Canis lupus familiaris: one gene and its partners. The main gene of each other region encodes a partner of the protein of the gene in region 3 in a complex. Links are inferred from orthologs where the notes say so. Each region holds a gene or a part of one and is shown on either strand. Other genes may lie near its edges. The genes, in order: ARID2, SMARCA2, SMARCD2, DPF3, SMARCC2, PBRM1 and SMARCC1.

What was found.
Region 1: SMARCD2 (region 3) and ARID2 share a complex: the UniProt entries of both Homo sapiens proteins name them as parts of the SWI/SNF-B (PBAF) chromatin remodeling complex. The link is inferred for Canis lupus familiaris from reciprocal best matches to the Homo sapiens genes SMARCD2 and ARID2.
Region 2: SMARCD2 (region 3) and SMARCA2 share a complex: the UniProt entries of both Homo sapiens proteins name them as parts of the BAF complex. The link is inferred for Canis lupus familiaris from reciprocal best matches to the Homo sapiens genes SMARCD2 and SMARCA2.
Region 4: SMARCD2 (region 3) and DPF3 share a complex: the UniProt entries of both Homo sapiens proteins name them as parts of the BAF complex. The link is inferred for Canis lupus familiaris from reciprocal best matches to the Homo sapiens genes SMARCD2 and DPF3.
Region 5: SMARCD2 (region 3) and SMARCC2 share a complex: the UniProt entries of both Homo sapiens proteins name them as parts of the BAF complex. The link is inferred for Canis lupus familiaris from reciprocal best matches to the Homo sapiens genes SMARCD2 and SMARCC2.
Region 6: SMARCD2 (region 3) and PBRM1 share a complex: the UniProt entries of both Homo sapiens proteins name them as parts of the SWI/SNF-B (PBAF) chromatin remodeling complex. The link is inferred for Canis lupus familiaris from reciprocal best matches to the Homo sapiens genes SMARCD2 and PBRM1.
Region 7: SMARCD2 (region 3) and SMARCC1 share a complex: the UniProt entries of both Homo sapiens proteins name them as parts of the BAF complex. The link is inferred for Canis lupus familiaris from reciprocal best matches to the Homo sapiens genes SMARCD2 and SMARCC1.

Annotation. Positions count from the first base shown.
Region 1 is NC_049248.1:37,970,519-37,974,737, forward strand, and holds the start of ARID2 (AT-rich interactive domain-containing protein 2), read left to right. Parts: upstream 1-1,419; 5' UTR 1,420-1,570; coding exon 1,571-1,662; intron 1,663-1,850; coding exon 1,851-1,944; intron 1,945-3,167; coding exon 3,168-3,265; intron 3,266-4,219. UniProt on the Homo sapiens protein: Involved in transcriptional activation and repression of select genes by chromatin remodeling (alteration of DNA-nucleosome topology). Required for the stability of the SWI/SNF chromatin remodeling complex SWI/SNF-B (PBAF).
Region 2 is NC_049222.1:91,388,988-91,393,282, forward strand, and holds the start of SMARCA2 (probable global transcription activator SNF2L2), read left to right. Parts: upstream 1-1,495; 5' UTR 1,496-1,656; intron 1,657-2,385; exon of another isoform or gene 2,386-2,521; intron 2,522-3,409; exon of another isoform or gene 3,410-3,542; intron 3,543-4,127; exon of another isoform or gene 4,128-4,148; intron 4,149-4,295. UniProt on the Homo sapiens protein: ATPase involved in transcriptional activation and repression of select genes by chromatin remodeling (alteration of DNA-nucleosome topology).
Region 3 is NC_049230.1:15,127,825-15,132,009, forward strand, and holds the start of SMARCD2 (SWI/SNF-related matrix-associated actin-dependent regulator of chromatin subfamily D member 2), read left to right. Parts: upstream 1-1,385; coding exon 1,386-1,601; intron 1,602-4,058; exon of another isoform or gene 4,059-4,185. UniProt on the Homo sapiens protein: Involved in transcriptional activation and repression of select genes by chromatin remodeling (alteration of DNA-nucleosome topology).
Region 4 is NC_049229.1:46,575,316-46,579,588, forward strand, and holds the start of DPF3 (zinc finger protein DPF3), read right to left. Parts: upstream 2,801-4,273; 5' UTR 2,768-2,800; coding exon 2,736-2,767; intron 1-2,735. UniProt on the Homo sapiens protein: Belongs to the neuron-specific chromatin remodeling complex (nBAF complex).
Region 5 is NC_049231.1:850,229-853,728, reverse strand, and holds part of SMARCC2 (SWI/SNF complex subunit SMARCC2), read left to right. Parts: intron 1-42; coding exon 43-128; intron 129-587; coding exon 588-669; intron 670-770; coding exon 771-863; intron 864-2,059; coding exon 2,060-2,129; intron 2,130-2,364; coding exon 2,365-2,434; intron 2,435-3,368; coding exon 3,369-3,444; intron 3,445-3,500. UniProt on the Homo sapiens protein: Involved in transcriptional activation and repression of select genes by chromatin remodeling (alteration of DNA-nucleosome topology).
Region 6 is NC_049241.1:37,509,819-37,513,813, forward strand, and holds the start of PBRM1 (protein polybromo-1), read left to right. Parts: upstream 1-1,195; 5' UTR 1,196-1,211; intron 1,212-1,380; exon of another isoform or gene 1,381-1,564; intron 1,565-1,748; exon of another isoform or gene 1,749-1,765; intron 1,766-3,584; exon of another isoform or gene 3,585-3,732; intron 3,733-3,992; 5' UTR 3,993-3,995. Other genes in the region: GNL3 (guanine nucleotide-binding protein-like 3), read right to left, coding at 11-69, 827-839. UniProt on the Homo sapiens protein: Involved in transcriptional activation and repression of select genes by chromatin remodeling (alteration of DNA-nucleosome topology). Required for the stability of the SWI/SNF chromatin remodeling complex SWI/SNF-B (PBAF).
Region 7 is NC_049241.1:41,736,012-41,739,511, forward strand, and holds part of SMARCC1 (SWI/SNF complex subunit SMARCC1), read left to right. Parts: intron 1-3,146; coding exon 3,147-3,323; intron 3,324-3,500. UniProt on the Homo sapiens protein: Involved in transcriptional activation and repression of select genes by chromatin remodeling (alteration of DNA-nucleosome topology).

The DNA of each region.
Region 1 (4,219 bases), on a different chromosome or scaffold from region 3:
AAACGTTAATTATCGTCCAAGTTCAGAAGGTTGGCTCCCGAGCCGGTTTAATTACTGTTTTTGCATAACTCAGCATAAAATAATCTAGTTTGATAGGTGAAAGCGACCAGAGAGGCAAGACGACGTGGGCATCCGTGTATTTCCAGGAGAACTAGGACACACACACACACACACACACACACACACACACACACAGTTCCCATCGTATTTGATTTCCAGTTCGCTCAAGTTAGTTTGTGGATAATTCATGGAAAATGTGCTAATCAGGCCCCAAAATACTAGCACAAGGCTCGGAAACGCCGATTCCCTTAGACCCTCAAAAAAAAAAAAAAAAAAAAAAGGACTTTATTCGGATCCGTGAAGGATGCGTAGCGGCAGGAGCTGCCCCTCGGAGCTTCCCTTGCCCGCCGAGCGCCAGGCCGGTGCTGGGTGCTGCGGGGCCGGCGGGGACCCCGGGGCGGCCCTGGCAACAGCCGGGCCGGGGACGCGAACATCGCCTCCACCCCTAACCCTGGAACAACCGGTAGTGGCCGTTTCCCCGCGCCGCCCCCCTTTCCGCCGGCTTTGTGTGCGTGTGAAATGTGCGGCACATTGCAGATGAACCCTAAGCCCGGCGAGCCGAGTCTATTGTTCCCCGCGAGGAGCTGCCGGGGCGGTGTGGAGCCGGGCGCAGTGCCGCGGCCGGCCCTCGGGGGTCGCTGTGCGGCGCTGGCTGCCCGGCCGTGGCGGCGGCGGCGGCGGCGGCGGCGGCGGCGCTGGCGGCGGCGGCAGAGAGCGAGGCTGGCGGGGAAGGAAGCGGGCGGGCGGCGCGCAGCGGCTCGGCCGCCGCCGGTGCTTTCTGCCCGGGGACGCCCCGGCCGCCGCGGCCCAGGCCGCGCGTGAATGTGTGCGAGGGCCCCGCGGAGCCGCGGCCGGAATACACGCTGTCACCCCTCTCTCCACAAACCACCACACAGACCTCCCCCTCCCCACCCCCAGCCCCGCCTGCCCCAGCCCCGCCGCCGCCGCCGCCGCCGCCGCCGAAACTCCGGGCCTCCGGCCGCTCACCGTCGGCTCGCCCGGCCCCTCGCCCGCCCGCGCGCCCCCGGCAGCAGCCCCATGTTGAATCGCGTCCGCAGGCCGAGCCGCCTGGGCCGGCGGCGCTGAGAGGCGGGCGAGAGCCGGGCCGCGGGGAGGGAGGGAGGGAGGGAGGGAAGGAAGGGGTGGGGGCCGCGCTCGCCCCGCGGCTTCGCGCCGATCCGGCAGTCGCCTGCCCCTCTAGTTTCGCTCCGATTTCTTTAAACTTTTTTAGAAATTCCCCTCCCTCCTTCCCTCCTCTCCCCCCGGCCTCCGGCTCCCTCCTTCCCCTCCTCCTCCTCCTCCTCCCCCTCCCTCCCTCCCTCCCTGCGCCGCCGCCGCCGCCGCCGCCGCCGCCGCCGCCGCCGCCGCCGCCACCGCCGGCCCATGACTGAGCCCCGCCGCCGCCGCCGGCCGAGGAATGGGCTCCGGGCTCTGGTAGGACGCGCGGGGAGCGGGGGCCGCTTTTAAGACGCCGATCCGGGTTTTTTTTGAAACCTCCTTTGCAAAAATAATGGCAAACTCGACGGGGAAGGCGCCTCCGGACGAGCGGAGAAAGGGACTCGCTTTCCTGGACGAGCTGCGGCAGTTCCACCACAGCAGAGGGTGAGCGCAGAGCCGGGGGGGCAGCGCCGGGGCGAGCCGGGGCGAACGGGGCTCTCCCGCCCGGGCCGGGCGCGGGGTCCCGGCTGACAAGTGCGGGGCTTTCTCTCTCTCTCTCGCTCTCTCTCGCTCTCCTCTCGCTCTCCTCTCCTCTCTCTCTCTCTCTCTCTCTCTCGTCTCCTCTCCCGCAGGTCGCCTTTTAAAAAAATCCCTGCGGTGGGTGGGAAGGAGCTGGATCTTCACGGTCTCTACACCAGAGTCACTACTTTAGGCGGATTCGCGAAGGTGAGTGGAAGTTTTAATTCGTATTTCCCTCTCGCTGGCCTGCTCCGAAAAGTCTCCTTTGACCCCGGAGTGGGCGCTCGGGGCCCGGGGCGGGGGGGGCCCGGTGGCCCGCGGGGGCAAAAGGCGTTCTCGGCGCTCGCAGCCGGTGGCACGGAGGCGGCCGGGCGGCGGGGCTGTTTTTTTGGCCTGGTGGCTCGCGTGCGCGCGGCGGGGCGGCGGGGCTCGGGCGGGCGGGCGGCCCGGCGCCGGCTCGCGCCCTGCCCGCCGCCCGCCCGCCCGCCCGCCCGGCCGGCCGGCCCGGCGGGGTCCGAGCGCCGCGGCGGGGAGCGCGGGCGTGCAGGGGGCGCCCGCCCGAGCCCCGCCGCCCGGCCGAGCCCCGCCGCCCCGCGCCCGCCCGCCCGCCCGCCCGCCCGCGCGCCCGCCCGCCCGCTCGCTCGCGAGTCGGCTCCGCCGCGGCTGCCGCTCTAGCACAGGCGGAGACACAGAGACACACAGACTCTGAGAGCAGTTTTCGTGCAACTCAAAATTAGCGCGGGCAGGTTTCACATCGATAATCGGCCGCCAAATGATCCCGGCGGCCGGGGGCACAGCCTCGGCCCCGTCGCCCTCGGTTTATACGGCTAACAAAAGAAACCAGGACCTGTCTCCAAATAGCCATCTTAGGCTTCAAGGCTAGGCAGAAGCTGTAGGCCTCAAAGAAGGGCCTATGGAGATGGAGAGATGTGGGAGAGGGATCGGGAGCGGCCCCGGGCCCGGCCCCCCCCCCGGAACCCGCCGACGTCGCTGTCCGGAACAGTATTGATCCTTTTGAACTTTTTTTTTTTTTTTTTTTTAGTGTAAACGGACCGCGTTGAGATTTAAAAGGGGGCGACAGAGGGACTTGCGATTGGTTATTGTCCGGGCTTCAAAAACAAAACAAACCCACCAGTCTCCCCCACACACCCCCTCCCGGGCCCCCCGCCGCCGCCGCCCCCCCCCCCCCCAAACAAAACAAGTGCTATTAAATACAGGGCTCTCGGGTGAAAACACAGTGATTCGAGCCCCCCCCCCCCCCACACACACACTCCCTTGCTTAGTTCTCCTCACGGATCGATCCCAAACACCCACTGATGCCCGAGGTGGTGTATCCTCAGATCTCTGTAGAATGGGTATTTATTTCACGGTTAGGCTGCAGTCTCCCTGGACGGTGCACTCTCAGACAAGTGTGGCTGTGTTTTTAACAGGTTTCTGAGAAGAATCAGTGGGGAGAAATTGTTGAAGAGTTCAACTTTCCCAGAAGTTGTTCTAACGCTGCCTTTGCTTTAAAACAGTATTACTTGCGGTGAGTAGTAGTGACTCTTGCACAGTATTTGGAACTGAGGGACTCAAGGGGAGATTTGTGGGTGTTTTTTTTGTTGTTGTTGTTGTTGTTGTTTGTTTGTTTGTTTTTTGGTGGTGGTGGTAGGGATAAGCCCCCCACTCCCCCCAAACAAACCTTGCACACCAGTTTCTAAACTTGTCTTCATCTTTTCAGTCCGACAAACATCAAATATCCATAAAGTGAGGTTGTATAGGAAGGTGAAAGTTTTCCTCGCCTATTTTAGGACTGTTTACATTTTTCATACGGGATCATTACAGGTGACACCCCACCTCCCATCTTGGTAAACGTTCTTTTGTGACATTGTTATTGATTGGTTGATATCCACGGAGGGGCAGAGAGGTGATGCTTAGTAAAAGAGTTAAGATAGTTAATGAAACTTTGTATCCCCTGGGAAAATTTTTGCTTGGCTTCGGAAACTCCTTTGCCTTTTAAAATCCTCACTTTAAGATTCTCAAACAAAACAAAAATGATACCTCTTGCATGGAACCGTGTAACAGAGTAGTTTTTCAGTAGAATATTTACACACAGCATAGCATGTTTGGTGCCTTAGGTGACCAGGATTCTTTTTAGAATAAGTTCTTTGGGATTTTTGAGTGACTTAAAAACGTTCAGAAGGATTATTATATATGTAGGAAGATTAAGGATACTATGAAATGGAATACTATGATTTGGATTTTCTTTCATTCTCTCCCTCCTTTTTTGACAGTCTTTGACAAAGTAAGTTTCTTAGTTGATGTGTGGTACGCTTTAGATATTGTATTTTCTGATTAAGCTTTATTTTTTCCTTTTTCTGCTAAGAATATTTTCATATTGTAACCTATTATGAGGTCATCTTTTATTTTTAATGCTTGCTTACTCATAGAGGGTCTTTAGGTGGTGGTGGTGATTTAAAACTCAGAGGGTGCTCTTCGTATT
Region 2 (4,295 bases), on a different chromosome or scaffold from region 3:
TAGGATTTTACTCTAGGGGGAAAATCCTCCACTAGAGAGTCACGGTGCACTTTGAATGACTAATTGAAGCCATTACATTACAAAATAAAGGATACATCATTCTTTTCATAACACTACCATATAGGAACAGTTTTAATTTTAAGAGTCAAGCACTTACATTAATCTGAGTCTGAAATAATAGGCCCCTGATTTAAAATCTCCTAACATTCTTTCACACTTCATAAAACTAAAAATAAAATTCGTCTCAGCAAACACTGACCTATTCCGCCAGCCAAAGAACTGTATTTCAAGGAGAATTGGAACAAGAGGTCTCCAAACTGCCAAGTGCCAGCAGTTTACTGTTTGTAGCCTTAATCGGTCTGCAACGTGAGGTGGGAGAGGACAGACTGTGGGCTGCCCAGGATAAGAGATTTAGTCCCTTTCTTAAATCAAAAGCAGATTCCACGCTTCAGCTGTCCCCTCACCCGCTCGCCCCGCCCCCACGGGGTTGTTTTTCCCTATCTATGTCTTCCTTGTATGCATTTTATTCGAAGATGACAGGTGAGGGAAGCTTCACGTGCCGCATCTGGTCCGCAAAGTAAACAGAGGGGTTAGGGTGGGCTTATTTATTTACAAGGCATTCAGCCTCTCAGCTGTTTTTCCCTCGTTGGCATTTGGAAGCTTGCCGTCCTTTAGAAAAGAGACAGATTTGGCAGGAATGTTCTTTGTGCCCGCCTCCCTTTTTTACGGGGGAGAAAGGGGACAGATTTATAATTACAACCTTGGGTGGGGGGGGGAGGTAACGGGGAGGGGGGTGGCGTAGAAAAAGTTTCAGCCGGCACGACAATGCCTGCTTTTTTTTTTTTTTTTTTTTTCTCTTCTTCTTCTTTTTCTTTCACGGTCCACACTGTGCAGTGCACTAACAGCTCCGGTGCCACTCGGAGCCCTCCCCCGGTCCCCTCCCCTCTTCCCTCTGCAGGCGCGCTCCGGCAGGCGGAGGCACAGTTAAATTCCAGCACCTTCTCCACCTACCCCCAAACTACTACGCGCTATTACTACGGCCGCCCTCCCCACCCCCCACCGCGCGTCGGGGTGGCGGGGCGGGGGTGGGGGGCGCCCGGCGACGTCCCTTCCAAAGCTCCCCCCTCCCGCCCCGAGGTCGACCGCCGGGAGAGGGATGTCGGACGCCCAAGTCCTGCGGGGCTCGCGGCGAGCTCTGCGTCCTGCGCAGTTTCTCCGCTCCAGGCACCAGCACGGCCCGGGAGCCGGCGCCGCGCAGACACACACACACACACACACACACACACACACACACACACGGATCCACGCATACAGTAGAGCCGTCTCGGTGCACATTCTTGCACACCGCCCCCTCCTCCGCCCCCCCCGCCCCGAGCTCCCGGAGTCGCTGAGCGGGCCGAGTGACAGGCGCGTCCCGCCAACCCGCGCCCGGGCGGGCAGGGAGGAGCGGCGCGCGGGGCCAACTGCGGCGCGTCTTCCGGCGCCCGTGGAGGCGGCGAGGGTGGGACGCGGGGCGGAGCCCGACTTTAGGAAGAGGAGGGGATGGCTGTCATCAATGAAGTCATATTCATAATCTAGTCCTCTCTCCCTCTGTTTCTGTACTCTGGGTGACTCAGAGAGGGAAGAGATTCAGCCAGCATACTCCTCGCGAGCAAGGTAAATATAACTTACAACTCCTTTCTCCTCTCCCCCCCCCCCCCCGCCCATCCCTCCCTCCCTCCGGCCTCCGGGGCTGCAGCCGCCGCGCAAACCCCTCCGGCACCGCGCCGCCTTCGCCGGGGAGTCTTCATTATTATCCTAATTATTATTTATTGTGCATGCACGGAGACCAAAACAAACAGGCGGGCCAACCGCCGCCACCGCCACCACCACCACCACAACAAAAAAGCCCGCCTCCTCCCCGCGGGCCTCAGGTGGAATGCTCTAACGACAGCTCCCGGGCGGCCGTGGAAGAAACGGGAAAGTTTCAACCGAACCTTGCTGTTCTAATAATAACAGTAATAATTACTACTTCGGGGAGGCGAGGGGCGGGTGGGGGGGATCCCGACACAGCACAGCCTTGACCCCAGGTAGGCAGTCAGCGATGCGCTCGCTGCCAACTCAAGGTTGCAACACACACACACACACACACACACACACACACACTCCGCAAGGTTGCAATCCCCCCCCCCCCATCCCCTCGAGGCTGGGGTAGGGCGCCGGCTGGAGGACCCGGGAGGAGGATGGAAAGGCGACAGTTCACCCCGAGCCGTCCTCCCCGGAAGAGTTGGAAGGGGCGCGGGAGAGGAGGGCGAGGAGCCCGGGCTGGCGGCGGGGCGCCAACGATCGCGGCTGCCACCCGCCTCCCGGGGACTTGTTTAAAGGGCTCCGGTTGCCGAGACGCGAGCCGATCGCGGCGGGAGGAGCCGAGGCTGGCGCGCCCGGGAGGCGGCAGCCACCGCCGCGGGGCCGGTGCGTGCAGGATCGGAGGTGTCACCTCCACTTTGCGCGTTCCCTCGGGCGGGGAGGAGGACGCTGACCGGTAGGCAGGCCCTTTTTAGGCAGAGGGGTTCCCGGGGCGCTGCGCCCGGGGCTCTGCGGACGTGCCCGCCTCTGGTACCTGGTACCTGGCGGCCGCGCGGGCTCGGCTGTTGAAGTTCGGGGTGTCCGGCCCGGGCCGCGCCGCCGGCGGGGAGGGAGGAGGCCCCAGGGAAGGAGGTCGGAGGTGCCCGCCGGGCTCGGTTGCGCTGCCCTCCCCCTTCCCCGGGTTTGTTTTCGTTGGCTCGGCGTCTTTCCCCCCAGCCTGAGCCGCGGGAACCTCGGGCGTGGGTCGCCCGCGATCGTCGGGGTGCTAGGGGCTCGCCGGGGCCCGGGAGAGCCACGGCGGCCGCGGGCCGGGAGGCCATGATCCGGATAATCCTCTCTGCCTGACTGTCACAAACAGGACCCGCGCGCACCCGGCCAGCAGTGGTGGCGTTCGCCGGAGAAGGGGAAGGGCTGCGAGGGGGTGGGGGGTGGGGGGTGGGGGGAGGAGGAGGGCGGGGGTGGGGAGGGCGGGAGGCGGGGAGACCGGGTGGGAGCCTCCTCCCCACGATGACACGCACCCCTTCCTTCTCGCTCCCTGCTTTCGAGTTTGCTTTATTCCCATCCCAACCTGATTTACCCCTTCCTCTGCTCTCCCCCTCCATCCGGCCGTCTTCCCTCCTCCCGTTTGCGTTGCAAAACAGGGCCATGCCATCTGCAAAGGTGTCGCGATGCACTTCCCCAAATAACCGGTCCGGCGTGCCCGTCCCCAGGCGCCCTCCGGCTGCGGGCGCACCCCGAGCCCGGTGCTCCGGGTGCCCCGCACCAGGCCTCGCAGCCTGGGCGCAGTTGCAGCGCGCGGGGCGGGGCGCAGCAGTGCGGGCTCCCGGGGACACCCGTGCCCTGGCCCCGGCGCCCGGCCGGTTTCCGGTACACGCGGGGAAATCGCCTCCTGCCAGCGTCTTCGCGCGCGCCCCTGCCTCCGCCGCCTGGATTGCATTATTATTTTTATCCGGGTTGCAGCTTTGCGGCGGATCCTGGTGAGCGCAGGGCAGGCCGGCCTGCTGGGGGTGGGGGCTGGGGTGGGGAGGGAGGGAAGTTGGACGTGGATCAGGCAGGAAAAAAAAAAAAAAAAAAAAAGTTTGGCAGGGCGGCTAAGTAGGGAGGGGGTGGGAGGGGGCGGCGAGCTCCCGCGGCTCGCGCCTCCGCGCCCTCGGGGCCGGCCGAGTGTGTCTGCGCGTGAGTGTGCGTGTGTGCTGCGCGCGGGGCCGGGCCGGTGCCCCCGTCGCGGGTAGGGGCGCGGGCGGCCGCGGGGAGCCCGGGGAGCGCCAGGCGAGGTTCGGCGGCGGGGGCGGGCGGGGGTGGCGTGCGCGTGTGCCTGCGAGTGTGAGTGTGAGTGTGCGCGCGCGAGCGGCAGAGAATCAGGAAGTCACAGCGGCGAAGCGCACACAGACATGTTTGATCGCCGTGACATGACGCGCGCGAGGGAGGAAGCGGCGGCGGCGGCGGCGGCGGCGGCGGCGGCGGCGGGGGCCGGGCCGCGGGCTCGGGCGCGGGCCTAGGGCTCGGGCCGGGAGCCCCCTCGGGCCGTGCGGCCGCCGCAGGCTCAGCGAGCCCCGCGCCTCTTTTTGTTCCGCGTCCCCCAGGTAAGGAGCCTGCGCCGGCGCCGCCCGCCGAGCGCGGAGCTTGCCAGCGCTCTCCCTGCCGGCCCCCGCCGGGCTCCCGGCTCGCCTTTCCTGCAAAGTCAGGCCGGCGGGGGCAGCGGGCTCCTCGCCCTGCGATCGATCGCGTGG
Region 3 (4,185 bases):
TACTGAATCATAATCTGCATTTTAAACCAAAGCCCCAGATGTTTCTTTCTTTTTTTTTTTTTTTTTTTTAAGATTTTATTTATTCATGAGAGAGAGAAAGAGACAGAGACACAGGCAGAGGGAGAAGCAGGCTCCATGCAGGGAGCCCGAATGGGACTCGATCCCAGAACTCCAGGATCATGCCCTGGGCTGAAGGCAGCGCTAAACCACTGAGCCACCCGGGCTGCCCAAAAGCCCCAGATGTTTCTTGTGCTTATTAAAGTTTAAGAAGCACTGGCCTGTATCAGGGGGAGGAAACCCCAGATGACCAGCATGTAGGCTAACACAGCTGAAGGGCTTTATTTTGAATACCTTATGACACAGGATAGTGGTTTCTGAAAAGGTATTGAATTTTTTTTCCAATTAAGTACTATAAATCCTGGAGAAAGACCTTATTTAACTGCAGGGAGTTTTCTCACAAGGCAAAATTCCTCCCCCTAGAAACATTTCCTGTGGAGTAAAGTACTAGGCTTCCTTAAAGTGAGGCAGAGCCACGTTAAAAATATGCGATAAGAGCTCGGCGCAGGGCCAAGTCAGCCCGTCACACAGCTGGACTGGGTCTGGGGCAGCTGACGTCCCTTGGCAGCTCTGAGCCAGCAGGATGGGCTATTAAACAAAGTGAAGCTGGTGGCTCTTCTGCCTCAGGAAACAGCTCTAAGCTGAATTTTTACTGCCTAAAACATAGAAAAGCGACTTAAGTCAACTATTTTCAGGGAGTGTAACTGGGAACCTCGGGGGGCGGGCTCCACGGGGCAGAGATCAGCAACTCCCCACGCATTCTCTGTTGAAGCCCTTAGGTGACCTTCAACCTCTGACCCCGCGCCTTGCACAGCGCTTCCTGCGCAGCTTTCCGCCTCCGCCCCTCCGGTCAAGGGCGGGCCTGAGGCGTGGGGGCGTGGCTGGGGGGGGCGGCTGGCGGTTAGGGGCGGTGCTTGCTGGGGGCGGGTCTCGCGAGGGGCGGGATTTGAGCGGCACCGTGGCATTGGACTGCAGGTTCTAGGCGGGGCCTAGCGCCGGGCTTGTTTGGGCGGGGCTGGGAGTTAGTTGCCGCCTCCGGGTAACTGGACTCCGGCGGCCAAACCTCCGGAGGCCGCGAGCGTCAGGCGGGCGTGCAGCAGATCCCGGATCCGGAATTGCCCGGGCAGGACCGGAATCAGGATCGGCCCTGCCCCAAACCGGGTCTGCGAGGAGGAACTTGAGAACTTGGATTGGGAAATCCCGGAACCCGGATCAACAAGCCCCAGAACCCGGAATTTAGATCGGGAAGTCCCGGAGCACGGATCGCGGAGCGGACTCGACACGGAGCCCGGAGCCCGGATCGCGACACCGCCGGACGGGACGGAGCGATGTCGGGCCGTGGCGCGGGCGGGTTCCCGCTGCCTCCGCTGAGTCCTGGTGGCGGCGCCGTTGCCGCGGCCCTGGGAGCGCCGCCTCCGCCCGCGGGACCCGGCATGCTGCCGGGACCGGCGCTCAGGGGGCCAGGGCCGGCTGGCGGCGTGGGGGGCCCCGGGGCCGCCGCCTTCCGCCCCATGGGCCCCGCGGGCCCCGCGGCGCAGTACCAGGTGAGCAGCGCGGCCGGGCGGGCGGGTGGCGCCGCGAGGTCGCCCGGGGCGATGGGGCGATGGGGGCTGGAGTCGGGGCCGCGGGGCAGCCCCCGGGCGGGGCACGGGGGCCCGGCGTGCGGAGTGCGCGGGACGGGGTGCAGGGCAAGGCCGGGCGGCGGGGCAGCTCGGGGAGAGGGTCAGAGCGAGCCTGGGCTGGAGGGTTGGGGGCGGTTGGGAGGGTCTGGAGGTTTTCTTGGAACGGGGATTCTGAGTGAGAGGTGGAGGAACCGGAGCCCGGGAGCTGTGGGCGAGCGGACCGAGAAGTCTAGTGTAGGTCCTAGGGAAGGGGGCTCGGGGAAGTGCTGGGAAAGTTTTGCAAAAGGGCCCTCACGGAGAAACCAGGGTTACCCTGCCTTGGCCTTGGTCCCACTCCAAGTCTGCGCTGGGCTTTTTTTTTTTTTTTTTTTTCTTCTAGTTGGGAACTGGCAGAGTTCTAGCGTGTCTGAGATGGCTCCCAGCTGCTGATGGGGAGGAAGAAGGGCCTGGCTCCCCGCGGCCCGGGAGGTGGAGAACGGAGCAAGGGGACCCCAGCCTGTGCCGGGCAGGGTCTGCTCCAGGTCAGGCCCAGGAGCCCTCCCGTGGGGTGGCTCCGGGTTCGACCAGAGCTGGTGGTGGCCAGGCCTGAGGCAGGCGGAAAGCCCAGCCCGTTCTGGGCCGACTCTCCTTTTGGCTTTCTGCCTGGTGTCCTAGTGTCCAGGAGTTGGTTAGTGTGCAGGAGCAGAGAGGCTCCACTGAGCCCTGCTGGTCTGGGGCTGGAGGAGCCTGTCTGTGAGAGTTGCTTCAAAGAGTTCTGTCCTGACCCCTTTGGAGTTTGGCTTCCAAGAGAGCGCGTCTCAGGTTGCAGCTTCAAAGGCCGAGGAGAGGTAGAGACTCCATCCTTAGGGCCTGACCCTGCTGGTGGGGCTCATCAGTACCCCCCTCTCCAGTCCATTGTTTCTGGTTGCCCCAGAATGCTTGGGAATTGTGCCCATCCTTTTTTGCACTCTCTCTGCACTCTTATTTAGCCTTTAGGTTCTAGCAATGTCATATCCCAACCAACCCGTGTGCCCCAGCGTTTGGCACTGGCTTCTTTGCTAATCTCCCAAGGAAGCTGGGGTTGACTCTCTGGTCTCCAGGTAGAGGCTCCACAAATGGATCCTCATAGGATAGGATATGCTTATCTCCCTCGCCGCCCCCCTCAGAGCCCTGGGCCCTTACTTTCTAAAGAGACGCCTAACTGGGGACCCTGATTTTTCCCACTTACTCTTCATCCCCCCTCCTCTCTGTAAAGAAAACAAAATATCTGGGTACTGACAGAGATAATGCCAGTGACTCCCATCTTTCCCATCTTGCTTTCCCACTTGGGGATTCATGGGTCCAAGCTGATGCTGAGGGGTCTCGACATGAGTCATTACAGCCCCTGGGCCGGCTAGCTGAGCACAGGCCTTGGAGTCTCTCTGGGCCTTTGGTCTAAGAAGAGATAGGAGCCTCTCCAGTTGCCTTTGTTCAAAAGCTGTGAGCAGTGTGGCCTGGGGAAAGCCCTTGGATAATGGGTTCCACAGCCCTATGTAGGGAGTGGCCTTGGGCCAGTGGCAAGGTCCAGCTGACTGGCTGGGGAGCCCCAGGCTGCTAGGGTTGGGGACCAAAGGGTAGGCACTGAGCTTCTGCTTCTGCAAGCTTCCTGTCCCACCAGCTTTTCATAACCTCTTCCTCCTCCTCCAGGAAGGGACAGTAGAGGATCCAAGGGGAGAGGGAAGACCCAGTTCACCCTGGCTAAGTTCGAGTAAGATTCTGCTTGGCCTCTTTCTAAGTCCAGTTGTGTGACTTCCAGGAGATGGGACTTCAGAGGAGCAAAGGGGGTCCTGTCTGTTAGGGTACATGAAGTGAGCTAGAAGAGCAAGGCTTTCCAGGCCAAGTGGGGTAAGTTAGGGAACCTATGGAAAGAGGGGAAGTGATGACCCACCTCCCTCCACACAGTGGATCTAGCTGTGGATCATACTCGACAGAAGAGCTTAAGGAAAACAAGAAATGGGGCAGTTTGGGTGGCTCAGTGGTTTAGTGCCGCCTTCAGCCCAGTGCCTGATCCTGGGGACCCAAGATCGAGTCCCATGTCGGGCTCCCGGCAAGGAGCCTGCTTCTCCCTCTGCCTGTGTCTCTGCCTCTCATGAATAAATAAATAAAATCTTAAAAAAAAAAAAAAAAAAAAAAAGAAAGACAAAACAAAACCCAAAGAAACCCAGATTGTTGGGTTCACTCCAGAGTTCAAAATATTTTCTGCTTATGGAGGGGTATGTTCCCTTCTCTTAGGCCTGGGCCACCAGGGGCGCCAGGGCCACAGGCTTTGAGGCAGGGTGCTGCGTGCTCTCTGGAGGTGCAGCATTAGGCCCAGCCACGTGCCCTGCTGTCCTGGGCAGTGGAGGTAGAGTCACACTTAGGACATGGGCTGCTGCCGGGCAAGGGAGAGGACATTGTCACACACTTCCTAGCTTGAGCTTTACTGCAGGCAGGGACTTACAGAGCCTTGAGTGGCCTGACTGGGATTTGTTTTGGGGTGTTTTGTTTT
Region 4 (4,273 bases), on a different chromosome or scaffold from region 3:
TAGCTCTCCAAACCATTCTCGCGGCTCCCCTCCTCCCTACACCACCATCCATCCCTTTAGCTGGATGTGTCTCTGCGCTTTGTTCTAATTTATCCCATGCATAATTTATTTACGTGTGTATTGTTTCCTGATCAGCAACTTTTAAAAACAAATGAAATGTAGAAGATGTCTTGCTAAATAAGTTGTTTTCAAAAAATAAAGGCAGATGGTGTGGGTCTCCCAATAACAACGTGTGTGCTCCTGCATTAGGAGTTTAAAAGCCGTCCGGAGCGCAGGAGGTTCGGCTCGTCCGGGAGAGGGGGTGGGTATTGTTTACACCCCCTTTCCTCCAGGGAAAGGGTTTGGGATGCAAAAAGGAGGAGCTAATTAAAAAATGACCACTCAACTCCCGTCTAGAAAAGGCAGGCAGGGATGTTGTGTGTATGCTAGCGCGTGCGCGCGCGCGCGTGTGTATGTGTGTGTGTGTGTGTGTGTGTGTGTGTGTGTGTGTCGACACAGAATTACAAAACATGTCATTGCAACTGTCTCTAATTATTACAAAGTATAAGTTTAATAATTCAGGACTAATTCCACTAAACCAGCCCCCTTCTCTGTTCCCTCCTCCACCTCTAACCCCACCCCACTCAGACACCCTCGCCAAACACGCACCCTTCCGCAGTTCAAAAACAAACAAACAAACAAAAAACCGGAGCCGGCAGGGAAACAAACCCTGGAGCGTTTAGAGATATTGCGCCTGCCGGCGCGTGAGCGGGCTCCAAGGTAACGCTGGTACCGCTTTCCCAGTAGGAAACAAATCTGGCGCACATGTGAAATAGATTTCTCTAACTTGAGTTTACCAGGTGGCATCAGCCTGCCTATGTGATTTCGGCTGGAAATGGGGAAACTGCAAATCAGCTGGAGGTTCGGCTGAAACTCACAGCATCAGCGGTGTGGCTGCGCGAGCGACCGGGGAGCGAGGATGCGGCGAAGTTACGCCCATTTATTCTGCTGTAAAACATTTTCTTTCTTGGCTGAAACGTTGTGGCGTTCCAGTGCAGTGTATCCGAGCTTGCGAGCGAGAACTAAAGCCGGGGGCTGTTCTGTGATCGGCGTCAGCTTCCAGCTTCCTCTTAATCGCAGCTTTAATCGCAGCTTTAATACATGTATATTAAAAAAAAAAAAAAAAACTCCGAACCGGGGACCTTACTACCTTTTCCCCTATTAATGATGGGAGATAAGCTGGTGCAAACACGTCCGATTACCCTCGCGCGTTCCTTTGCGCTAGGAAACACCCCCACACCCCCCGCAGCCTCCCTCCCTCCCCCGGTGCGAACGTGGTTTTCAACTCCAGGAGGAGCCTGGGGTGCCAGCGCGGTGCGCTGAGTTGAAATAACCCGCACGGGCATCGGCCACACAGCCAGGAGAATTTTGCACGAAACGCCCCCCACCTGCATCTCCCCCTCCCCTCGCCCGCGGCTCCCACCCCGGCTGGGAAGTCCTGGTCCCAGAGGCGCGGACCCCGAGCCACGCCGCGCGGCGACCGGGAGTCCCGACCCACGTCGCGCGGCGATGGGGGAGCGAGCTCTCCTCTGCCAATATCATTGCCAATAGCACCCCTTGTAGGGCGACGCTAGTTTTCCGAAGCCTCCAGCGGCTCCGCGATCGCGATCGGACTTGGCGGCTTAACATTTCCATCGACTGGAAGGAAGGAAGGAAGGAAGCCAGGACGAAAAGGAGCAGGAAGGCAGGCAGGCAGGAATTGGCAGTCGGACCCGGGGACTGGTCCCCGCATGTCCTCGCCCAGCCCGCCCCCCTGCGTCCGGGATCTGGGCGTCCGCTCAAAGTCTCCCGGCGGCGGCCAGAGGCACCTGCCCCTCGCTCTGGCCGGGAGCAGAAGCTGCCTCTCCGCCCGCCTCGGTTTTTCACCCAGAGGAGGCAAGAACACCATTCATAAGACCTGCAGCCTCCCTGCCTCCCAATCAACCCCAAGTTAACCCGAGTCGTTAATACACTACACCCAGTTCGCCCGCGAACACACGCAGACACACCGGCGACCGCCCGGAGCGCGGTCACGCTCGGGGGGCTGCCCCGGCAGGAAAGCCCCCGGGCAATCACCTGGGCCCCAGGGCTCCCGGGACCCACTGCTCCCCCTGCGGTCCTCCCAACTCCGGAAGGTTTGCACAAACTCCCCGCGAGCGATCGGAAGGCGTAAAGCGCCCTGCAAACTCCGGAGCTGCCACGGTCCGCTCGCCCCGGCGGACCCAGCAGCCGGGCAGGGGCTGCGGACTCCGGAGGCGCGGGGCGCAGCCAAGTGCACCCAGGCGGCCCCTGCCCGGCGCTCGCCCCCAGCTCGGCCGCCCCCCGCGCCGCGCTCGCCATCCCGCGACGCCGGGCACTCGGGGGACCGTGCAGTCCCCGAGCTGCCCACGACCGCCCGCCTCCCCCCCCCCCCCCCCCCCGTAGAGCGCTCGAGCGCCTGGCTCCCCTGCCGAAAACCCCTCTCCGTGCGTCTTCCAATTAAGCAGAACACAAACGTAACAATTTTCTTCTTGTTAATTGCATCTCTTGACATTTCTGCGCGTTGGGGGTAAAAAAAAAAAGAAGATGAAGAAGTAAGAGCTGAAAGAAAAGAGAAGCCCCGCCGCGGCTGCAGGCGCCTGCAAGCGCAGTGCATTGGCAGCGCTTGGCACGCGGAAGGCGCCTTTTTTTTCATATTGAAACCAGGCGGAATATGTACATTTTTTAGTCTTACTTACGCTTTCAGGGGGTTGTGAATGACAGTCGCCATTTTGCTACAATGTAACAGAATATTGTCTGTCTCAGAGTTCTAAAGGTTCGCTCAGGGGAAGCGGCGAGCCAATCAGAGCACGGGATACCGGCCCGCTGGCCAATGGGCGCTGCTGGTCGCCAGATGGGCGGGGCCTGCACGGTGGTAGTTATTAGGGGAGCTGTCAAAGCCCAGAGGTCACTCCCTTTTGTAGAGCCCGAGAGCAAGCAGGTCTTAAAGGGGCAGTACCGCGAGAGCAGCTCCTTTTCGGATTTGGGAAAGTGGAGACGCACGGGGAAAGTATTCTAGTTTGGTTTGAGTCCCTACTTTCTAAATAATTGCAGAGAGTTTGCGCTCCTGGACAGAAATATTTAAGTATTGCCAACAAACCACTGAACCCCATTCATTAGCTTTTGGCTTTGCTGTTACGTTTTTAATCCCCCAAAGGGCAAATCCCCTCGTTCCCGTGCAAAAGTTGGAAGGCTGCCGTTTCGTCTAACAAATTACTACACGTGCCCAGCAGTTTGCTAATGCTCTAGGTCCAAGGCTTTTTAACATTCTCATTCCTGTAGTGTTTTCTTTATCTCGGCCACCTTCTCTCTCTCTCTCTCTCTCTCTCTCTCTCTCTCTCTCTCTCTCTCGGTTTCTTGGAACTGCTGCCGCCGTTCCCGGCGACTCCAGGACAGCAACTCCCCTCCCCCTGGAATGTCTCAATGTCAGGCTCGCTCCCTCCGGCAGCCAGGGCTTTCGTTACGTAATGCGCGGTGGTCGCTGTGCGCGGTTCCCCACTCCGACCTCTTCCAATCTACACACACACCAGAAACTTCTGAAATGGTCAGATTCCGGCCGGCCGGGGAGCCAAGTGGGACCTGGCGCTCTGACCTTTAGGCTTGGGGACAGAGGAGGTTTAAGGAAACTTTTTGGAAACGCTTTCTGCTACTAGGAAAGAGAGTAACTAGACAGAAGGTGTTGCCAGAGTCTCTTTCGGGGAGTAGCACACGCGATTCTGGCGTCACCTTTCACTACTTAGGTACACGGTGGAAAAATTTGCCACTGAATAATCCGGTAGGACCCGAGGCGTTCAGAGTCTGTGTCTGCTCCAAGTCAGCGTGAACTCCTCACTGGCGAACCCCCGACGAAATTGGGAGACTTCGGTGAAGCCAGGCTTCCACGGGGCAGCGGGGAATCTCCCGGTGGATGAAATCGCACTAAATCATGAATAGGGGCCTCGTTAGCATACAGAAATCTGGCTAACATCCCAAAGTTGTTTAATCAGGTCAAATAGCTAAAATAGCGGAGGAGGGGTGGAAAGGGGGAGAGAAGATGCCAAATTGCCACCAGTTCTTCAGAGCTCTGCACTCTCACTTCCTTTCTCAGGGCTCCTCTCAAGGCAATGAATTAAAATTAACAATAATAATAATAACAATAATGTTCCAGAACTTTCAGAGCGCAATTCCATACACTATTAGAGTTACAGAAAAACAGAATAAGACTGAATGGGTATGTTTGTTTATAAGACTTGAAATC
Region 5 (3,500 bases), on a different chromosome or scaffold from region 3:
GATATAACTCTCACATACTACTTTCCTATCTCAATTTTGTAGATCAAATGTTTCCTAGATTTCAAAGCAGGAGGCTCCCTGTGCCACATACTTGCAGCTGCCTACAAATTCAAGAGTGACCAGGGATGGTGAGATGCCTACTTCTCTATGCTTCTTACATTAGAGGGGACTCCCCCTTTATGATTCCCTGGGTCTTTCTGGAGGTGGGAGAGCATAGGTAGACATCCTTGCAAGTCTCTTGCTTTGCTAGGTCAGTAACCTTGACTTGCTAGGTCAGAAGAGTGGCTGAGTGTCAGAGCCAAAATAGTTTCCAAGAGTGAGTGAGCATGTATGTATATGTGCATCAGTGTGTGTATTGTAGAGGAAAGGGGATTCTTAGGTTGGCATCTCAAGCTTTTCTTCGTCCTTTCAGACTAAGTACAAAGTGATTCATGGAGTTGAGATTAGTGAACCCAAGATCCCAGGCCATTTTGGCAACAGTTGCGGGCAAGACTGCTTCCTGATTTCCCATGTTAAAAAGTCACATACCCTAACCTCATCTTCAGACCTGATCTATACCACTCACTAGATTATTGCCTCTTCTCAAGGCGGCGTTACGATTTCCAGAATCCATCACGCATGGACCGCAACGTGGAAATGTTCATGACCATTGAGAAGTCCTTGGTGCAGGTAATAGTCAAGAACCTCTGCGGTCCGTCTCCTTTCCCTCAGTGAAAATCCAAAATATGCTTTCCCCATGATCCTATCCCATCTATTTCTTCTCCCCACAGAATAACTGCCTGTCTCGACCTAACATTTTTCTCTGCCCGGAAATTGAACCCAAACTGCTAGGGAAATTAAAGGACATTATCAAGAGACACCAGGTGAGTGGGTGTGTGAGAAGTTTTGGAAACTCCATGCTTCTTTTCCTGATGTTTTCTGTACAATAAGCAATCTTTAGATGACATGTTTTGTACTGCAGAGGCTGCTCTGCCTACTTGGAAAAAGATTAAAGCCTTGAGCCTCTCTTTCTCAGTTCACTTTTCCCATTTCCCGGTCTTGACAGGTTTGGATTACTATTCCTAGAGACTGCATTGGCCTGAGGGTGAGGAAAGCCAGAGATTTCCTGATTTCAGAGAAATGAAACCTTTACTCTAGAACTCTGTAATAACAAGCAGATGCCATTGCTAGGGACATATAGTCAGCTTTACATTTCCCATGTGCAGATTATCTTTTCAGAGGATTTTTAGAGCAACTTTTAGTTCTTTAATTTTTCTTCATTATTAGCAGTATCCCAGCTATTTCCCTCTGCCTCTCAGCTAGTATGTGCTTAAAAAATGCAAATTGGGGGATCCCTGGGTGGCGCAGCGGTTTGGTGCCTGCCTTTGGCCCAGGGCACGATCCTGGAGATCCGGGATCGAATCCCACATTGGGCTCCCGGTGCATGGAGCCTGCTTCTCCCTCTGCCTGTGTCTCTGTGCCTCTCTCTCTCTGTGACTATCATAAATAAATAAAAATAAAAAAAATAAAGATTTAAAAAAAAAAAAATGCAAATTGGGGGCAGCCCCGGTGGCGCAGCGGTTTAACGCCGCCTGCAGCCCGGGGTGTGATCCTGGAGACCCAGGATCGAGTCCCACATTGGGCTCCCTGCATGGAGCCTGCTTCTCCCTCTGCCTGTGTCTCTGCCTCTCTCTTCTCTCTCTATGAATAAATAAATAAATAAATCTTAAAAAAAAAAAATGCAAATTGGGATCCCTGGGTGGCGCAGCGGTTTGGCGCCTGCCTTTGGCCCAGGGCGCGATCCTGGAGACCCGGGATCGAATCCCACGTCGGGCTCCCAGTGCATGGAGCCTGCTTCTCCCTCTGCCTATGTCTCTGCCTCTCTCTCTCTCTCTCTGTGTGTGTGAGTATCATAAATAAATAAAATTAAAAAAAAAAGAATGCAAATTAACTTAAATACCATTCTGAGCAAAATATGATTAGGAAGGCCAGTCTGTGGCTAAATCTTATTTTGGCTTATTTACACCTGTGAGTAATTCAGAGGGAACTGTGTTTACCTGCTTTTCCTTGTGCCATCCAGGGAACAGTCACTGAGGATAAGAACAATGCCTCCCATGTTGTGTATCCTGTCCCAGGGAACCTGGAAGAAGGTAAGAGACCTGAGTTTTCCTGGCCTCTGCAGTGGATGGCTTGGACTAGGACCGGGGGACTATTCAGCCCCCGCACACTGCCTGGGCTTCTCCTCTCTCCTTTGAACCCTGAGCCCTCCCACTGCCATATGTTTCTATTTCCAGGTCCCTGGCTGCAACATGAGTTGTGAACAGTTAGTTACCTTTTGTGTATCCCTTTAGCTTATATCTCTCCTTGTTCTGTCTCTATCCCCAGAGGAATGGGTACGACCGGTCATGAAGCGGGATAAGCAGGTTCTTCTGCACTGGGGCTACTACCCTGACAGGTGAGGATAGGGTCCTGGGGCAGGTTTGAGTACAGAAACCAGACCGAGAAGCCCTAGAACGTCTAGCAAAGCAAGCAGGCACTCTTTGGGGGTTATTTTTAGGTCTGTTTTGTTGGGGGTTGTTTTGTTTTGTTTTGTTTTGTTTTGTTTTGTTTGTTCTCCTCCTCTCCATCATGAGAATCTGTCTTGGGAGAGGTTTAGACTTATAGATGAGGATTAAGCTAAAAGGATGGGGGCTTTATGTGTGAAATGATTATTCCAGTGTTATCTGCGATAAGTAAATGTTAGAAACAATCTAAATGTCTTTAACAGTGGGAAAATGTTTTAGCAATTTATGTATCTATTCAGTGGATTAGTATGGAGCCATACTAATAGAAATACATACAATAGAAATAACATGGAAAAAAAGAAATGACTGGATAATTTATAGAAAATGTTAAATGCAAGTTGTGAAATAACATAGTAACATTGGAATTATGTAAAAACAAAATTGTAGGGGCACCTGGGTGGCTCAGTGGTTGAGCATGTGCCTTTGGTTCAGGTCATGATCCCGGGGTCCCGGGATCGAGTGCCACATCGGGCTCCCTGCAAGGAGTCTGCTTCTGTCTCCGCCTCTCTCTCTCTGTCTCTCATTAATAAATTAAAAAATTGTACAGGAAAAATTTACTGGAAAAAATATATATACCAAATAGTTGTGTTGGGCTGATTCTTTTTTTTCTTTCTTTCTTTCTTTCTTTCTTTCTTTTTTTTTTTTTTGGAATTGTTTTTTATTCATAATGGAAAAAAACCCGATGTTAATAGGAAAAACAATCATACCAAAAAATAACCCAACAACCCAATGCTTTTTATAAATGGAAAAGGTAAAAGATTTGTACTTTACTATTCTACAATTCCATCCCATTGATCCCATTTCACGCTCAATTTCCCATGGCAGTTATGACACGTGGATCCCAGCCAGTGAAATTGAAGCATCTGTGGAAGATGCTCCAACTCCTGAGAAACCTAGGAAGGTGAGCATTTCTTGCCCCCTGACCCCAAAACGTATTCCAGGGGGTACCTGGCTGGC
Region 6 (3,995 bases), on a different chromosome or scaffold from region 3:
GAACACTTACCTTTTTTTGGATTTTATACCTTTTATGGCAGGTCATGCGTTTACTTGCTTTCTTTAACTCTACAAAGAAACCCAGCACGAGAGGATTAGACACAAAGGATCCGTTTAGTTTTTAGTGACCGGGCTCAGGGGTCACGTCCCTTTCCCTGCTTAGCAATTAACGCTCAAACCTAAAACTCACATGTGGTGGATTACAAACACAGGCCATTCTAAAATCTCAAAGAATCTGGAGCAGAGCCCAACTTCCCTGCTCTCGCTCTTTCCGTAACAGACTGAAACCGCACAGCAGAGCAGGAGACCCCCAGATGGCAGCCCCTTCTCGTCATAGGCCGCAAATCACAAGTTAGGACCGAGCAGCGGATTTCAGCGGCCCGCCTCAGACCTCTCAACATGGCCGAGTAGGGAAGAGGCTGGGCCCGCAACCTTGGCTCGGACGGACACGGTTTACTCAGGACCATCTGGCGTGATTTTAATTTCTTAAAACATATCTGACAGAGAGAGAACACGAGCAGGGGGAGGGGCAGGCTCCCCGCTCCGCAGGGCGCCCACGCTCGATCCCGGGAAGCCGGGGCCGTGACCTACGCCGAAGGCAGACACCTGACCCACTGAGCCACCCAGGCGCCCCAGCGACCTTCACTGCTGTCTTCCTTTCGCACAACAGGCCGGCGGCTAACGACGGCCTTCCCCCACTCGCTTCTCCTCCCGACCCGCGCCGCGGCCTGCCCGCAGGCTCCCCCGCTCCCTCAGAAGACCGCCCCGACGGTTCGCCGACCGTCAGAGGCAGGCCCCTCTACACCCGCTCCCCGGCCGTACTCACTCGGTCGCTTCATACTGGGAGCGGGAACGGCGGTCGCAGCGGCGTAACCGGCGGCAGCAGCAGCAACAACGCGCCTCCGCCCCGGCCACGTGTGACTCGCAGGCAGCCAAGCCCGAGCGTCACGCACCGACGCTACCGCCGTAAAGCGCGCCGCCGCCCGCTCGCGCGCGCGCGCACGCAGTGTCGTGCGGAGCCGGGTTCGCTTGGCGGCCGCAGGGCTGGTTTTGCGGCGGCACCGGGAGGGGTGAGGGCGGTGAGGGCGGCGGGTGCTGGAGCGACGGCGGCGGCCGCAGCCGGAGGAGCAATAGCAGCAGCCGTGGCGGCCACGGGGCGGGGCGCGGCGGTCGGCGACCGCGGCCGGGGCTGCAGGCGGCGGAGCGGCTGGGTAAGGCCGGGCCCGGGGCGGGCGGGGCCGCTCCCTCTCGGCCGGCTGCCGGGCCTTTGTGTGGGCCCGGGCGGGCGGGAGCAGCGGCGGAGGCCCCGCCCCGGCGTGGGGACGCGCCGGTCGGGCTGGGCGCGCGGGGCGGGGCGCGGCGGCGGGCGTCGGGACGGCCAGGCAGCCTCGCCGCACCTGCCCTGCCGGCCGGACAAAGGCGCGCCGCGGCCCGGAAGCTCCCGCTCGCTCTTTCCCGCCCCGGCGGCCGGCAGAGCCCTCGTCGCCGACAGCCTCAAAGCTGTCAACGTTTCCCTAGTCCCGGTACCAGTGACAGGTCCGGAAAGTCTTTCATTTCTTCACAGGTCAGGGCCTCCTTTTTTTGTTGTTGTTGTTTCTTGACGCAAACTCAACTAGTGTGAAAAAAATTTTTTTTTTTTTTTTACCTTCTCTAGATGACTGTGTTCAGACTGAGTGTGTATTTGAGTGAGACTTGTATTTATACTAGAGGCTAGATACTGAAGTGTCTTCTCTGCAGCAGCACGGAAAATCGAGGTTTTAAAATTGTACGTTTCCTGGTTTTTAATAATTTTCCACCTCTTAAAATTTTCTACCGAAAGCGTAGTTTTATTGTGATAGGGAAGATATTGGCGATTTAAATAAAGATTGGTAAAATGTGGAAGAAATACTGAAAAAAAAAAAAAACAAGTGGGAAATAGCACAGTATAGCAGGTATAGAAATTACCATTGTGGTTATAGAAGCATATGTTGGAATATAAGACATTCTTATTAATTTATATTTTAAAAAATTTAGGGCTCCTCAAAAATGGTTTTTGAGGTGATGTTTTTCCATTAAGAGTAGTATGGTTTTGCTTTATTCCTTGTTAACAGATTGCTTGTATTTTAAGATTCAAAGGAAGGAAAGTGTTTTTGAAGAAGCAGTTCCAATTTCAAACAGTAACAAATGTGCGTGTGGATAAATGGAAGGGCGTTGATTGCCTTCTTTGGCTTTGGGTGTACAAAATACCTCAGATTTTGATATTTTACCCCAAACTCCAAGCTCAGTAAATTGTGGTATGTCTATACGATGGGCTGTTAACAAGCCATCAAACATCCTGTGGAAGAGTGTTCACTTTTGGAAGAACCCAGAGTTTAAAACAAGTTGCAAAACAATATATATGGTTTAACACTGCGGTTTAAAAAAAAAAAAAGGCAACTAAGGCATAGAAAAAATACAGAAAGCCGTGAATGCCAATGTTAAGGGTGTTTTGTTTTTTTTTTTTCTAGAATTATGTGGGGTTTTTTCCCCCCTTTGAATTCTGTTTTCCAAGGTTCTTGTTCTGTGCATGTATTATAGTATTGAGTATCAGAAATACAGGAGAGAACTTTTAGTACTATCAAAATATACCGTGTGGCTAAAATGAGTATTTTCCCAGTTGCACATTTTAAGGTTATTCCTTAGCGTCCAATGCAAGTTACTGGTTGTCAGACTTTTGCACATGTAGCTGTAATCAGTGCCATTTTAAAATTTATATTTGGGCTCCAGAATGTATTTCCTCTTCATGGGGAGAAAATTGCTGAAGGATTGCCCACAGTCCTTTTAAACCACACAAGCTTTTTTTAATGTCCCACTTTTAATACCTTTATTTAAAAAGATAAATTGATTGTTCATACTATACCAGATACTATTCTATAAGCCAGAGCTACAAAAATGAATAAAATGTTATTAACTGGTCCCAAGGAGCATTTAATCCTAGAGTTGAAAGTTCTCTGTTGTGCTTTGAAGTTTCAAAGTGATTTCGTGTACGTATCACAGTCCCAGTGCTCTAAGGCAGATATATGCACACCTGACTTCTCATTTTAGAAGTGGAGAAACAGCTCTGAGAGGTTGTGACTCAAGCAACATGAAACAGATAACTCGAAGCGGAGTACTTGGGACTCAGAATCCGGTCTTCTGAGCTTAAGTCCTGTTGCCTCTCCCACCTACCTGGCAATACTGACTTTATTGCCAAACTTCCAAAATACATTTAAAAATGTGTCCTTTGGATAAGAAAATAATTGAAAATTACCCTTAAGTTGCCTCTTTTTCTTGCTTTATCACAGAAAGTTAATGATTTAAGGAGTTTTGTATATTATGGTCTAAACTAGAATACACACGCACCAACAATTTACAATTTGTTGTCATATGCTTTTCAGTGGGTTATTTATGAAGGTAGTAATTTTGATCACCTGCCAAAATGATCAAAGGCTTTGTTTTTAATCTTTCTAAACCTGTGAGTGTTGTCTTTCTAATGCTGGTAGGACTTTTGGAAAGAAATGTCTTTCTCTGAATTTTTTGTAGGGGGGAGGAGGTTTCCAGACTGTTCACATGAACCATTCTTGGTTTGTTCCAGCTTGCCAACATTTGGTGTCACATGTGAGCCTTCCACATGTGTTCACTCTCCATTCCAGCTCTGTGATTGAACTCTGCTCTTATTGACTAGGGGGCATTTGGGCAGGCATGCTTCATTCCTGGAATTGACAGTCATTCCATGTGAGTAAAGGAATCTCAGTGAGACATCTTTAAGCATATGAAAAGCATTTGTTTTAAAATTAAAAGAAATGTCGGGTACTGTTAGTGCCTGAGCCTTTGCAGCAGTGTGGCACGAGAGAACTGATATGGCTATTTTCTCCAGTTCTCTTATCTTTCTTTAGCAGTTCTACTTGAATGTTTTCTATCTATTCGTAGTCATTTTTACTCCTTCTGACCTTTCTTTTTTATTTCCCCTTTCTCTGCCTGTTCTTCTCTTTCAGTTT
Region 7 (3,500 bases), on a different chromosome or scaffold from region 3:
TGCGTGTCATATTCTTTCTCCTTCCTGCTGCATAGTTGTTCTCTGCCTTGCTCTCTCACCCATTCTTAGGCTGCCTGTGGGGTGCTGCCCCTCACCCGTCAGCTCCCACTTCTGTCTACTCAGGCTGCCCTCATGTAGCCCCTGCTTCTCTTCAGAAGCTCTCTGCCTCTGCTCTAGGCTCCAGCTCCTCTGCATCTCTTTTTCAAGCTCTCCATCACACAGGCCATCAGTCCCACATTCCTTCCTTCTCTAGAACCTTTCACCAAGCCCCCAACCTCATTCTGCGTGTCGGGCTCATCCAGCCCTACTGCTGTAGGCACACTGTGGATTATGTGGCTTTTACTTGAGCATGCTTTTTTGAACCTTTTTGAGCTTCTTGCTCCTCAGGAAATGCAGGTGACAGATAACCAGGTGATGCAGGTACCTACCTCTGAGAGTGGTGAGTATGAAGATGCCACAAGAAGTGGTAGCTCTGAGGAATAACGGGAGTGACACTTGTATTATTTTCTGATTTCTTAACTCAGGTGGGGCCTTGTGCTTAGGATAGTCTGCTGCTGTCGTGTCTCTAACCCCCTTCTTCACTCTGATGCACATCATCTAAAATCCTAAGTCGTCTACAAGCTTATCTCAATTGACTGGAAGGTTTCAGGTTTTTGGCTTGCTCCTCCTGTGGTTTTCCCTTGATGTGCCTGCCATGCTGTACATCTGTGGGAGGAATGATGTATAACATACTTGATAGATAGTTGTTCCTTTAATCCCCTTGTCATTCCCTAGGTTGATAGACTTCACTACTGCCTGTATGTGTCCTAGCACTGTGGCACAGGCACCCAACAGCTTCTGGCTTTGGTGGTCAGTTGGTGTAAGAGTGGGTGGCTGTGTTAGCCCAGCAGTGAGTCCAGTACTTGCTCTTGCATTCTCTGAAGCAGTTTGACCAAGCTGTCCTCTAGTGGATGGATCTTGGGGACTCCTCTGCTGGGTTCTCCCATGATTGCATTATAGAGCACAGAAAGGTGGGCCTGAGGTCCCCAGACTTGCTGTCCTATTTATTCTGAGGTAAAATGTTGATATATTTTGCTTTATAAAAATTGCCCCTGAAAGGCAGTAGACCACCTCTTCCCCAAACTTTTGAACTTGTGGAGTTCTTTTTCACTAAAACCCCCCAGTAGTGAAGGGCCTGGGTCAGGAAACAGACACGGGCAATAGATGGTGTGAGGCTTGAAACTTTATGTGTCTCCCTTAAGACAGGCCTTTTTCTAACAATGACAGAGAATTCCCCTTAAGTTGTCTCCAGTACTTCTTTATATGTTGTAATTGACTGGTAACTATCAGTCCCATCTCCCAAATTTTCCAAGATTGGACCTAAAGCATTCTTTCTTCCAGCTGTCTCAGAACTATGTCTAGAAACATATTTAGTTTCATACAACTGACCTTTACAGAGATACTGAAATCCCTAGATTAAAAAAATAATAACGAAACACCATAGATTCTTTCCTTATTCTGTAGAGAGTATAATTTGCTGAGGGTGGAGAAGAGAGAGAGAAAAAGGAAGCACATGCATACGTTTCAGCCTAGATCTGTACCCATTAAAATATTCTCCTTTGGATGTAGTTCTTGAAAACCAAGCCCAGCAGCCAAACCACTGAGTTTTAAGAACTAAGAAATATTCATATCTGAAGTAGGATTGGCAAACTACAACCTGTGGGCCAACTTTGGCCCATCTCCTGTTTTTGTATGGACTGTAGGCTAAGAATGGTTTTTACAATTTAAATGGTTGGGGGAAACTCAAAAGAAGAATGCTTATATCTCATGAGGATTATGCAAAATTCACATTTATAGAGTCCATAAATAAAGATTTATTGGGGGATGCCTGGATGGCTCAGTGGTTGAGCATCTGCCTTCAGCTCAGGGCATGGTCTCAGAGTTCTGGGATCAAGTCCCACATATGGCTTCCCTCAAGGAGCCTGCTTCTCCCTTTGCCTGTGTCTCTGCCTCTCTCTCTGTGTATTTCATGAATAAATAAATAAATAAAATCTCAGGACACCTGGGTGGCTCAGTGGTTGGGCGTCTGCCTTCGGCTTAGGGCATGATCCCAGGATCCAGGATCAAGTCCCACATCAGGCTCCCTGCATGGATCCTGCTTCTCCCCATGCCTGTGTCTCTCATAAATGGATAAATCTATCTATTTATCTGTCTATCATCTTTATAAATAAATAAATAATCAATCTTATATAAATAAAAATTAAGATTTATTGGGACACAGTCTCACATATTTGTTATCTGTGACACCTGTATGTCATCTGTGACTGCCTTCATGCTACAGTGACAAAGTTGAATAGCTGTGACAGAGACCATATGTTCTGCAAGGTCCAAATATTTACTGTCTGGCTCTACAGAGAAAGTTTGCTAAAAATCCTAAAGGCTCAGTGTGAAACTGTAGTCGGGAGGTATTTTACTGTTCTTGTGTCTAGTCTCTCCTCTCATTAATCTCAAACCAACAGGAAGAGATGAAGGGGTTGTCCATTTTTCTTGCTCTGCCCCCTACCCCCCACCAGCCACCATCTCTGTGCTTCTCCAGGGCCAGTGCTTCATGGTGGGGGTTAGGAGAGACTTTTATTTCAACAGGACTTGGAAATCCGATTAGGATTCCTTTATAATGTTGATTTCACAGTTGTGACCAATACCCTTTCTTGCCTACTACACCCCCACCCACCCACCCCCGTGTGAAGCTCAGACTTAACTTAGCTGCTATCATCAGAGTGCACACTAACTTGCTGTAAAGATCCTCTCCATCCCCTGTGGTCAGTGCTTGGCATTTTGTGTCCTCAGGAAGATGTATAACAATCCACTATCCACCCAAAGTAACCAAAACAAATGTTTTCTTTTAGGGTGCTCTTGTAGTTGCTTCTTACAGCTACCTGCCTATACCAGGGTTTAGGGTATTCTTTGACTCCATAGACTGCCCCATTATCCTTCTTCCTCCAAAAAAAAAATGAAAATCTGGACATAGAGATTATTACAGATTATGGCTCTGTTGGTATTTCAAATCCTTCAGAGGGTTAGGTATTTGTATTTAGCAGTCTTGAGCATTGAATTGATCTCTTTCTTCCTAGTACACTTACCATAATACTTTAAATCTCCTTCCACAGGTCAGATGCCAGGTCCAGGTTCCATGATCCCTGGGCAACCCATTCCAGGCCGCATGATTCCCACTGTTGCAGCCAACATCCACCCCCCTGGGAGTGGCCCAGCCGCTCCTGGTATGCCTCCAATGCCAGGAAACATCTTAGGACCCCGGGTACCACTCACGGCACCTAATGGCATGTGTAAGTAGCATGGTGGGGGGAAACATTATCCTTGTATCTCTCTGGGTGGGCTGGAGACAAGAGATGGGGCTTTGTTCTCTAGATTTATAGTTTGGCAGGTCCATGGACAGTGCAGCCTGTGACAGTAGGTTCTAGAAGATCGGTTTGTGATTAGGGCTCTGCAGCACCCCTGAAGAG